2 linked regions of the Nothobranchius furzeri genome follow. The protein of the gene in region 1 interacts with the protein of each later gene in a biochemical or structural test. Links are inferred from orthologs where the notes say so. Each region holds a gene or a part of one and is shown on either strand. Other genes may lie near its edges. The genes, in order: setd1a and wdr82.

Evidence for each region.
Region 2: the proteins of setd1a (region 1) and wdr82 form a complex in vitro, tested with the Homo sapiens proteins (2 studies listed by BioGRID). The link is inferred for Nothobranchius furzeri from reciprocal best matches to the Homo sapiens genes SETD1A and WDR82.

Annotation. Positions count from the first base shown.
Region 1 is NC_091745.1:9,179,817-9,183,638, forward strand, and holds part of setd1a (histone-lysine N-methyltransferase SETD1A), read right to left. Parts: intron 3,509-3,822; coding exon 1,840-3,508; intron 1,176-1,839; coding exon 207-1,175; intron 1-206. UniProt on the Homo sapiens protein: Histone methyltransferase that catalyzes methyl group transfer from S-adenosyl-L-methionine to the epsilon-amino group of 'Lys-4' of histone H3 (H3K4) via a non-processive mechanism.
Region 2 is NC_091743.1:64,676,415-64,680,829, reverse strand, and holds the start of wdr82 (WD repeat-containing protein 82), read right to left. Parts: upstream 2,806-4,415; 5' UTR 2,610-2,805; coding exon 2,449-2,609; intron 1,902-2,448; coding exon 1,804-1,901; intron 1,410-1,803; coding exon 1,343-1,409; intron 1,209-1,342; coding exon 1,109-1,208; intron 960-1,108; coding exon 843-959; intron 1-842. Other genes in the region: glyctk (glycerate kinase), read left to right, coding at 3,854-4,209, 4,285-4,415. UniProt on the Homo sapiens protein: Regulatory component of the SET1/COMPASS complex implicated in the tethering of this complex to transcriptional start sites of active genes.

The sequences.
Region 1 (3,822 bases):
TATACCTTTCCAATGAAAGGTTTACCAACAATCAGTCCCACACTTGTCCTGAAGTCATGTGGAAAATGCTAAGAGAGAGAACAATTTGAGGAAAATATGGAAGTATACATCTGATCAGAAAATTAGACTGGAAGTTTTTGTCGCTAAATGTGCATTTGTAACTTCTACCCAAAGATCAGAACAATCGTAAACAGATGAGCCCTTACCTTGGCTTTGGTCTCCTTCCTCTCCCACCACTCATCAAACGTTGCAAACGCTACGTTCTCCACCATCTTACGGTTTAGGTCCCTCTGCATGATGTTCTTCATTTCCTGGATAAGCGTGGCCAAGACCATCTGCACCGTTGCCTCATGTGGATTCTCAGCCAACATGGGCATCTGCTCCCCGGGAACGCTAAACTCGTTCCCATCTCCGGTCAGCATAGTGCCGTAGCCAGGAGGGGGCATGTAGGAGGGGTAATGAGGAGGTAAGACGTGTGGTGGCCAGCCAGTGTGGGGAGGGGGTGGTATCTGAGTATTGTGGGGATCGTGGTAGGGATAGGACATATGAGGGGGCATGTACCTGTGGTCTTGGTCAAAATGAGCACCTGCCCCACTCCCCTCCTGGTCCATGTAGGAGTGATGCGTGTGAGGAGGTGGCATTGAGTGAATATGGTAGGATGAGTAGTCTGCAGTAGCGGCCTCACCTGGACCTGGTGTGCCGTTGGATGAAGACATACGCATCTGCTGTAAGCGACTTAGCATGTGTGTCTGCATTTGGAAGGACATCGGTGCTCCACCACTGTACTGGTTCATCAGTTCCATCGAGCTGGCGTAGTCATACATGTGGTGAGGCATAGGAGGGGGATACTCAGGGTGCAGCTCCATGTGGGGAAGGGGGGGAATCCCTGGTGGAGGCGGAGGCTGAAGGGAGTAACCATGAGGGGGAGGGGGAGGTAAATGAGGTGGGTAGGAAGGTATTGGGAGGTGCATAGAAGTGCCAAAGTGCTGCGAAGAGTCGGGTGGTGGGGAGGACGAGGGGTCTGCTGTTTGTGACGGTGCAGCCTGAGAAGAGGACGGTGAAGATCCCGAAGCGGCTGATTGCTGATGGGTTGCTGTTGTTGTTATAGTGGTTGTTGTTTCCTCCTCCTCCTCGTCTGAGATCTCCATGTCCTCCCCAGAAGAATGAGGAGAGGCCTGACAAAAAGAAAACCAGATTATGGTTTACAGTTAAAAAACCACCCGTGTGTTTGTGCACATTCCACAGCAATAACCGCATTTAGGAAATTCACCTCCAGGGAGACCGACCACAAAATCCAAGGAAAACAGATCAAACTTAAGACTGTAACGCTGTCATTAGCAGCGGTGTACTAGACACGTCGTCTCTGAACACTAAATACATTTTCTAATGCGACTTTCATAAGAACACGTTTGAAATTCACATGCAAGTATTAGACTTGTCCACAAGAGGGCGATGTTATTAAAACAACTACGCAATACAGGAGTAAAACGAACAAGTTAGCTGCACATTTCAGGCTCCACAGACTTTTAGATCGTCAGTCTCTCTGCACCTGGACAGAGCTGAAAACTTTGCAGCAGTATTATCATCTCGCCAAGTCTTTTAAAACTTGCTCTAGATTAAAATGATCTCCATCATAAGGTGTACCAAGAGCAAAAATAAAAGCAGAGAGATGAATTACGAGGCTAAAGGATGCAGCCGTTTTTGTTTCTAAACAAATGTCATTTTATTCTAGTAAATGAATAGAAGTTAAAGTGGATTTTAGACCACATGGTTTGCAGCAAGTTACTTTGTGTTTCAGTGTGGTTTTAAACTGTAACGTTCTAAAAGTCCCTGTCCTACCTGACTCTGCCCATTAAAGGGTGGTGTGTGAGCTCCCGTTCGGCTCTCTGCATCAGCAGAACCCGGCTGATCGGACTCTTGTTGTGACGTCCCGGTCCCAGCAAGGCTAACCTGGGGTTGAGGTTCTTCTGGAGGTAGGATAAGGGGAGAATGAGTGGAGGGGGGTTGTGTATCTGCTGAGAGAACAGTTGGGCTCTTCCTCCCCTCTCCCCTCTTCCCCTGTTTCTTTCCTTTGTGGCCATCTTGATCTCGCTCCTCTTTCTTCCTGTGTTCTTTCTCTCCACTGTCTCTTATGTGCTCCTGTTCCCCTGTTGCTTTACCTGACCCACCTCTTCGATCGACTCGCTCCCCAGCTTTGGCTCGAAGCTTGTCTTCTTTCCTATCGTCATCCTCTTCCTCATCAGAGGCGAGGAAAGAAAATTTCGCCTTTTGCTCTTTTAAGAGCATCTCAATGCGAGAGTCAAGACTGCTGCTGTGGTAAACAAACGGTAAACTCTCATTAGTGGAGTCGGGTTCTGGGGAAGAGGAGTCCCGGTGAGGAGGCGGTGGGGAGCTGGAGGAGGAGGAAAGGTGATGAGGAAGGGAGGCCGAGGAGGGAGAGTTAGAGGAGGAGGCGATAGTAGGGTGGACAGGAGATGAGGGTGGGGGAGTCTTGGGTGGAGCAGGTGGAGTGCTAGGATGACGTTTGGGCTTTGTCCACTGCTCTTCACCAGCAGGACTGTCCTGGTTGAAGTCCAGTGATCCTAGCGTGTCAGCGACAGCTGCCGCAATAACAGAGGCGGGTGGAAGTGGAGGGGGAGGAGGAGGCAGGGCACCGTGATGATCGGCGTGGTAGCCTTTGTCAGCACCTGCTGAAGGCAGAGAACCCCTTTCTGCAAGGCCTGTTGCCCCTGGGCGGGTGGACCCGTCCGATCCCTGAGGAGGGGTTGGAGCAGCCTCTTTAGAGGAGGCGTAGGCAGAGTAAGATGATGGAGGAGGAGACATGCTGTTCGAAGAGGAGCGATAAGAGTTGGAATTGTATCTGGGATCAGAGCTGTTGGAGTAGTCGCTGTCTCGGTCCCTATCTCTGTCTCGGTCCCTGTCCCGATCGTGGCTGTTTCTTCTGCGACTGCTGCTTCCGTGGTGGTTGTGAGAGTGGTGGTGGTGGTTGCGGTGTCTCTGGTGGCTGTGGTCACCTGACCGGGAGCCGAGGCTGTCGCGCCGGTAACCCCGATCATCTCTGCGGTCTGAATGGTGATGGGAGTGATGGGAATGGTACTTTGAGGAAGAGTTTGTGTCCTGCTGGTGATGGTAGGATGACCTTCTGGAGCCAGTGCCCCCTGGTCCATACCTCCCCCCTGAGTCTCTTTCACGGTCTCGATCTGACATTGGAAGATGGTCATGCTGATTGGAAAAAGGTGGGGGAGGCATTGTGGAGTGATGTGCTATCTGGGGCCCTGGTCCTCCAAGATTAGGGTAGGGGGGGTAGCATGGTGGCTCGTTGGGACGATAGGATGGAGGGTACCCTGGGCGACATCGATGGTGCACTGATGGATCCTGTTCATCGGGGTAACGAGATACTTTGTATCCTCCGACAGAAGACGAGACTGCAGAAGATGAAGATGATGATGGTAACATGTCCTGGGGGGGATAGCCACTGCCCAAAGGGCCTGGATTATAGCCAGGATGTCTGCAAGACAAAGATTAGGTAAAACAGTTATTCTGGGGATTTACATACATAACAACTCTGCAAAGCTCTCTTTACTTAGTGCCTCCGACGTCAAGGACAGATGAGCAGTTAATACAGCTGTTTAAAGCGACCGTTTCTGTTTAAGTAACTAGAAAACAGGTTTACGAGCTCATCAGATGCTTTTATGTTGTTTCTATTGCGCCTCCAGGTACAATTAAGGTCTGTTGTATTTTATTCTGTTTCAGAACTTGCCAAACACCAAAATATGTGTATTTTAGTTTATTGGTGCCAAACATCCCTTTACTGCTCAGCCA
Region 2 (4,415 bases), on another chromosome or scaffold:
GCTAATTAGCTGCTTGTAATGATCGCTATAACGTTTCCTGACCCATAACACAGGTTTCATGTGTTTGCTGTAACATTACAAACACTAAGAATTTATTTAATTATCTATGTTAAGTTTAATAAGTGTTGTCACCAAGCCCACTGCCAGCATGTATTTGTTTTCTTGACCCATATCGATATCAAACTGGAACAGACTGAGTCAGATCAGATCGTAACAATCTATTCTAACTCTTGAGAATCGGAATTAAATAGATTCTTGAAATTTGTATCAATGCCCAGCTCTAGTCTTGTGTGTCTTTAACCTGCTGTGTTTTAATAAGTTCAAATAAAATACAGCTTAAAAAAAATAAACATCATCACGGTTGTTTAGTTTATCACATGACATTGATAATACATCGATTATAATTGTGCAGAAGATTTAAAGGGCTCCAGGTGTAATATTTGTCTGTATGCACCATTGTTTATTTTAGTTTCTGTTTCTCCACGCGTGCGTGTGTGTGTGTGTGTGAGCAGCATTTTTCCATCTGATTTTTTTCTTGTATTTTCTAAACCTGCGCTTTGCAATCAAAGAGCCACTACCTGCATGTTTTCTGTTTTCCTGCACTAACACACCTGGTTTGCATCAATGGGTGATTAACAGACTTCCAAAAACTTTGAGGACACGATGATGAGGAGATTCAACCATTGAATCGGGTGTGTTGGAGCAGCTAAAACACGCGGAGCAGACCTGAGAAGCCTTGATCCAGACTGTTAAAGGTTTCATTCATTCAAAATTTAAATCTGTTCTAGGATTTAAAGCACCTGTATAAAAAAAAAACAAAAAAAGACAAAAGCAATTCTTACTTTATCAAATGACCGCAGATCATAGAGTTTAACCATTTCTGAATTTATTCCTGCAGCAAAAATGAGACCCTCTGGATCAAAAGAGCACACCGGCTTTCCCTGCAGGTGCATCAGTCCCTAAAAGAGACAAATAATAGCAAAGGTCAAAATCAGTTTTTTCATTTGACGAGTGAATCAGCAAGGACAGCGCACCAAATGAAAAGCTGTTATCATAAATGTGAAACATTTTAGCTGGCACTTTTGACTGCTTGAAATTGGACCCTTACTTGGCAGTTAGGCGACCGCAGATCCCACAGTCGGATGGTTTTATCTAATGAGCCAGAAATAAATGTGTCATCCACAGGAGACATGGAGAGAGAAGTCACCCTGGTCACAACAAACACAACCACAGAACAAAACATGACGAGTAAAAACTTTAAACCTGAAACATTTTAAAGGAAAACAAAAACTTACAAAAATAAAACAGTAAACAGATACAGAAATAGTTACTCAGCCCTCACCTCTTGTTGTGTCCAGGAAAATAGCGGATGTATTTGTTGTCATGAAGAGACAGGTACCTGATGGTGTCTTGTAGGAAAAGAGACACATCATTAAACTCGTGTCAGTCAATAAACATGTAAGACCTGCAGCGGGAGTAAATGATTAAAACGAATCCACCAGCATCAACATGTGATGAGTACACTCAACCGTGGGCAAGGCAGTCACTTGTACAGTTAGCTCCTGTATGGGGCAGAATCACAGACCCTCAAACTGTACAAACAACTACCTCAGACTACAGTGAGCAGCATGATGAGCTGTGATGGAGAAGCTGGAGGTGGAGAAACATCCTGTAGAGTTCAGTCAATACAACAGATCATGATGCTGTGGCTAAAAAAAACAAACCCTTACAGACCAAGAAAAGTATTCATCCCCATTCACAGTTGAATGAATGTAATTATGGAAATGACATTAGTTTACATACCATCAATTTTGTTGGAACTGTAGACCACAGTGTTTGCAGCATGTGTGTACCTGATCAGATCTACTCCATACTTTTTACTATACAGAGTCCTCTTGGGCCTGTAATTAATCAGAACAAACAAAACGTGATCAGACTAACATCAAGAATTTTAATCAGAACAAATAAAACTAACCAACTGCTATTTTGTTAAAGTTCTATATTCTGCCGTTCTTGTTTTAAATCTGATTACATGCTAATCCAAATCTTCTACACATTTGGTTTTCTCTCATTTACCTTAAAAATAATGTATCCACATAATTGTATTGGAGCTAAATATGAAATAATGCTCGCACATGCTCATGTGAATACTCGTTTAGATTCAAAATTACTGATGATGCTGTAAAATAAGTTTTATAAAACTTAACAATTCAAATTTCTGCCCTCTTTACACCATCACTCAAGCTAACTATTACAAAAAATTTTAACATGTTGGGTTTTATTTACGGGTATATTTTACCAATCAGATAACCACATAATTATTACTCTAGCGTAATTCAAACGCGTATTTTTATTTGACCGCTGAGTCCTACGCAGTGCGACAGGCCTCGGTGTTAGCTTAGCATGAAGCTAATTCCAAAAAGTAAACTCAGCAGAAATCGCCCTTACTTTCCTTCCTGGCAGTCGTACAACACTATAGAGTCATCGTCGCTGCTGGAAATAATAGTTTCTCCGTTCGAACTGAAATCGAAGCAATTAATTTTGTCTGAGTTCTCACGAAATACTTTAGCAACCCTGAAGCTCCGTAGCACATTGTCCGTTAGCTTCATGGTTGTCTTGAGGGGAAATAGGCCCTCGTTCTCTTTGAACTTGATTTGGAAAGTAAACTTGAGGAAATTCGTGTGGATATGTGAGCAACAGTTACACTACAAGTCACAATTATCGAGAACTCAAATCAGAAACAACGACAAAATCCCGCCTGTAACACAGAAGGGAAGGGAAACGCAATGTCCGTCGCTCTATAACGGAAGTCACCTGACACGGGTGAAAAAACACGTGACGAGACAGCGTGTTATCGCGAGAATTACCACCAATACAAACAGCAGAAACACAGTGAAGAACAGCGTGAATAATCAAATCTTTCGCGTTTTTAGCTGATCTTACTTTGAAATTTCAGAGTGTTCCGATTTAAACACAAGACAGTTATTGTGTTTTTGACGTTTAATACGTATTTTTTATAATAGTAAGTGTGGAATTTTGATGTTCGAACATGAACGCAGAGGTAACGAAGAAAGTTCCAGCAGGAATTTTGACTCCATGGATAGAAACATTTCAGGTATTTGGCAACAAAACTGTCAACATTGACAGTTTTAGGCAAATTATTTCAATTTTAACTAAGATGCTTTAAAGTGCCAAAATATTGACTATGCACGTCTACACAATTAGACACTAGTTTAGTTTATCAGAAGAAAAAAAAGTTGATTTGGGGGTAACTTGCCTTTTAAACTTAATTTAATTTGATTCACACGTGTTCAAGTAAAATAATATGTCTCAACTGGATGAAGAGCACTTTAGCATGGTCTATGATCCGTTAAAGTTAATCATTAAACAGAGTTTAAACAACACCAATCATTGTCGGGCCAGATATTTGTTCCACTGCTGAGCTAGAACACACACGACGGGATTCCACTGGAATTTGCAGGCATTAAATGCCACCATTCACGACCCACACAGGTAGGCAGTCTTAAGGAATCTCAGAGAGCTCAATATTGGAGTGAAAGTTTGCAAAAGTAGAATGTTGATAACAAATATACAAGTTTTAGTTATTGGATTAGTATTTTTATGGTTGCTTTTCAAAAGCAAGATATTATGCACATGGATGAGGATAAAATTAGATGCAGAGGTTTTTCCACACCTCCTTTCTTTCGTTTTTGTACAACGAGGAATTGTTGGTGTACTAATTCCAAGTTTCTTTGAGGCATGTAATAAATTTCAAATGTCTTCACATGTTAAAGGTTTTTTATTGTCATTCTTTGTCCTGATTCATGAATTTCTCAGACCCATTGATCCATCAATGGCCCGCGTCCTTTCCCTGATCCGGCCTCAGCCTATTCTGGCCCTCGTGGGCCGGCCAAAACCTACATTCTGCAAAATGTCAATGGACTCACGGGCCCGGAAGGTCTTTGCAGCGGCAGTGGAAGCTGTGCAGCCAGACACTGTAATCAGGAAGAGCATAGAGCGCACGGAAGATTCAGTTCTTATTGACGGTCGCAGATTCACACTCAAACACAACCTGCACTTGGTGGGCTTTGGAAAAGCTGTTCTGGGAATGGCTGCGGAGGTAGAGAGGATCGTGGGTGATCATTTAGTGAATGGCGTCATAAGTGTGCCTCATGGGATTCAGCAGACGTTACGGCAGCACGGGAAAAGGTAAGGAAAGACCTTCAGAGGGAATCAATTTATGCCAAAGAACTAAAATAAATCAAGCTCTTAATTCTATCGCAGCCATCTCCTGCTAAAGGAAAACAGTCGAATCAAAGTGATGGAAGGAGCTAAACACAACTTACCTGACGACGACGCCCAGAGAGCAGCTGAAGGCATCAAGCGGTTAGCCAGTGAACTGACAGAAGATGATT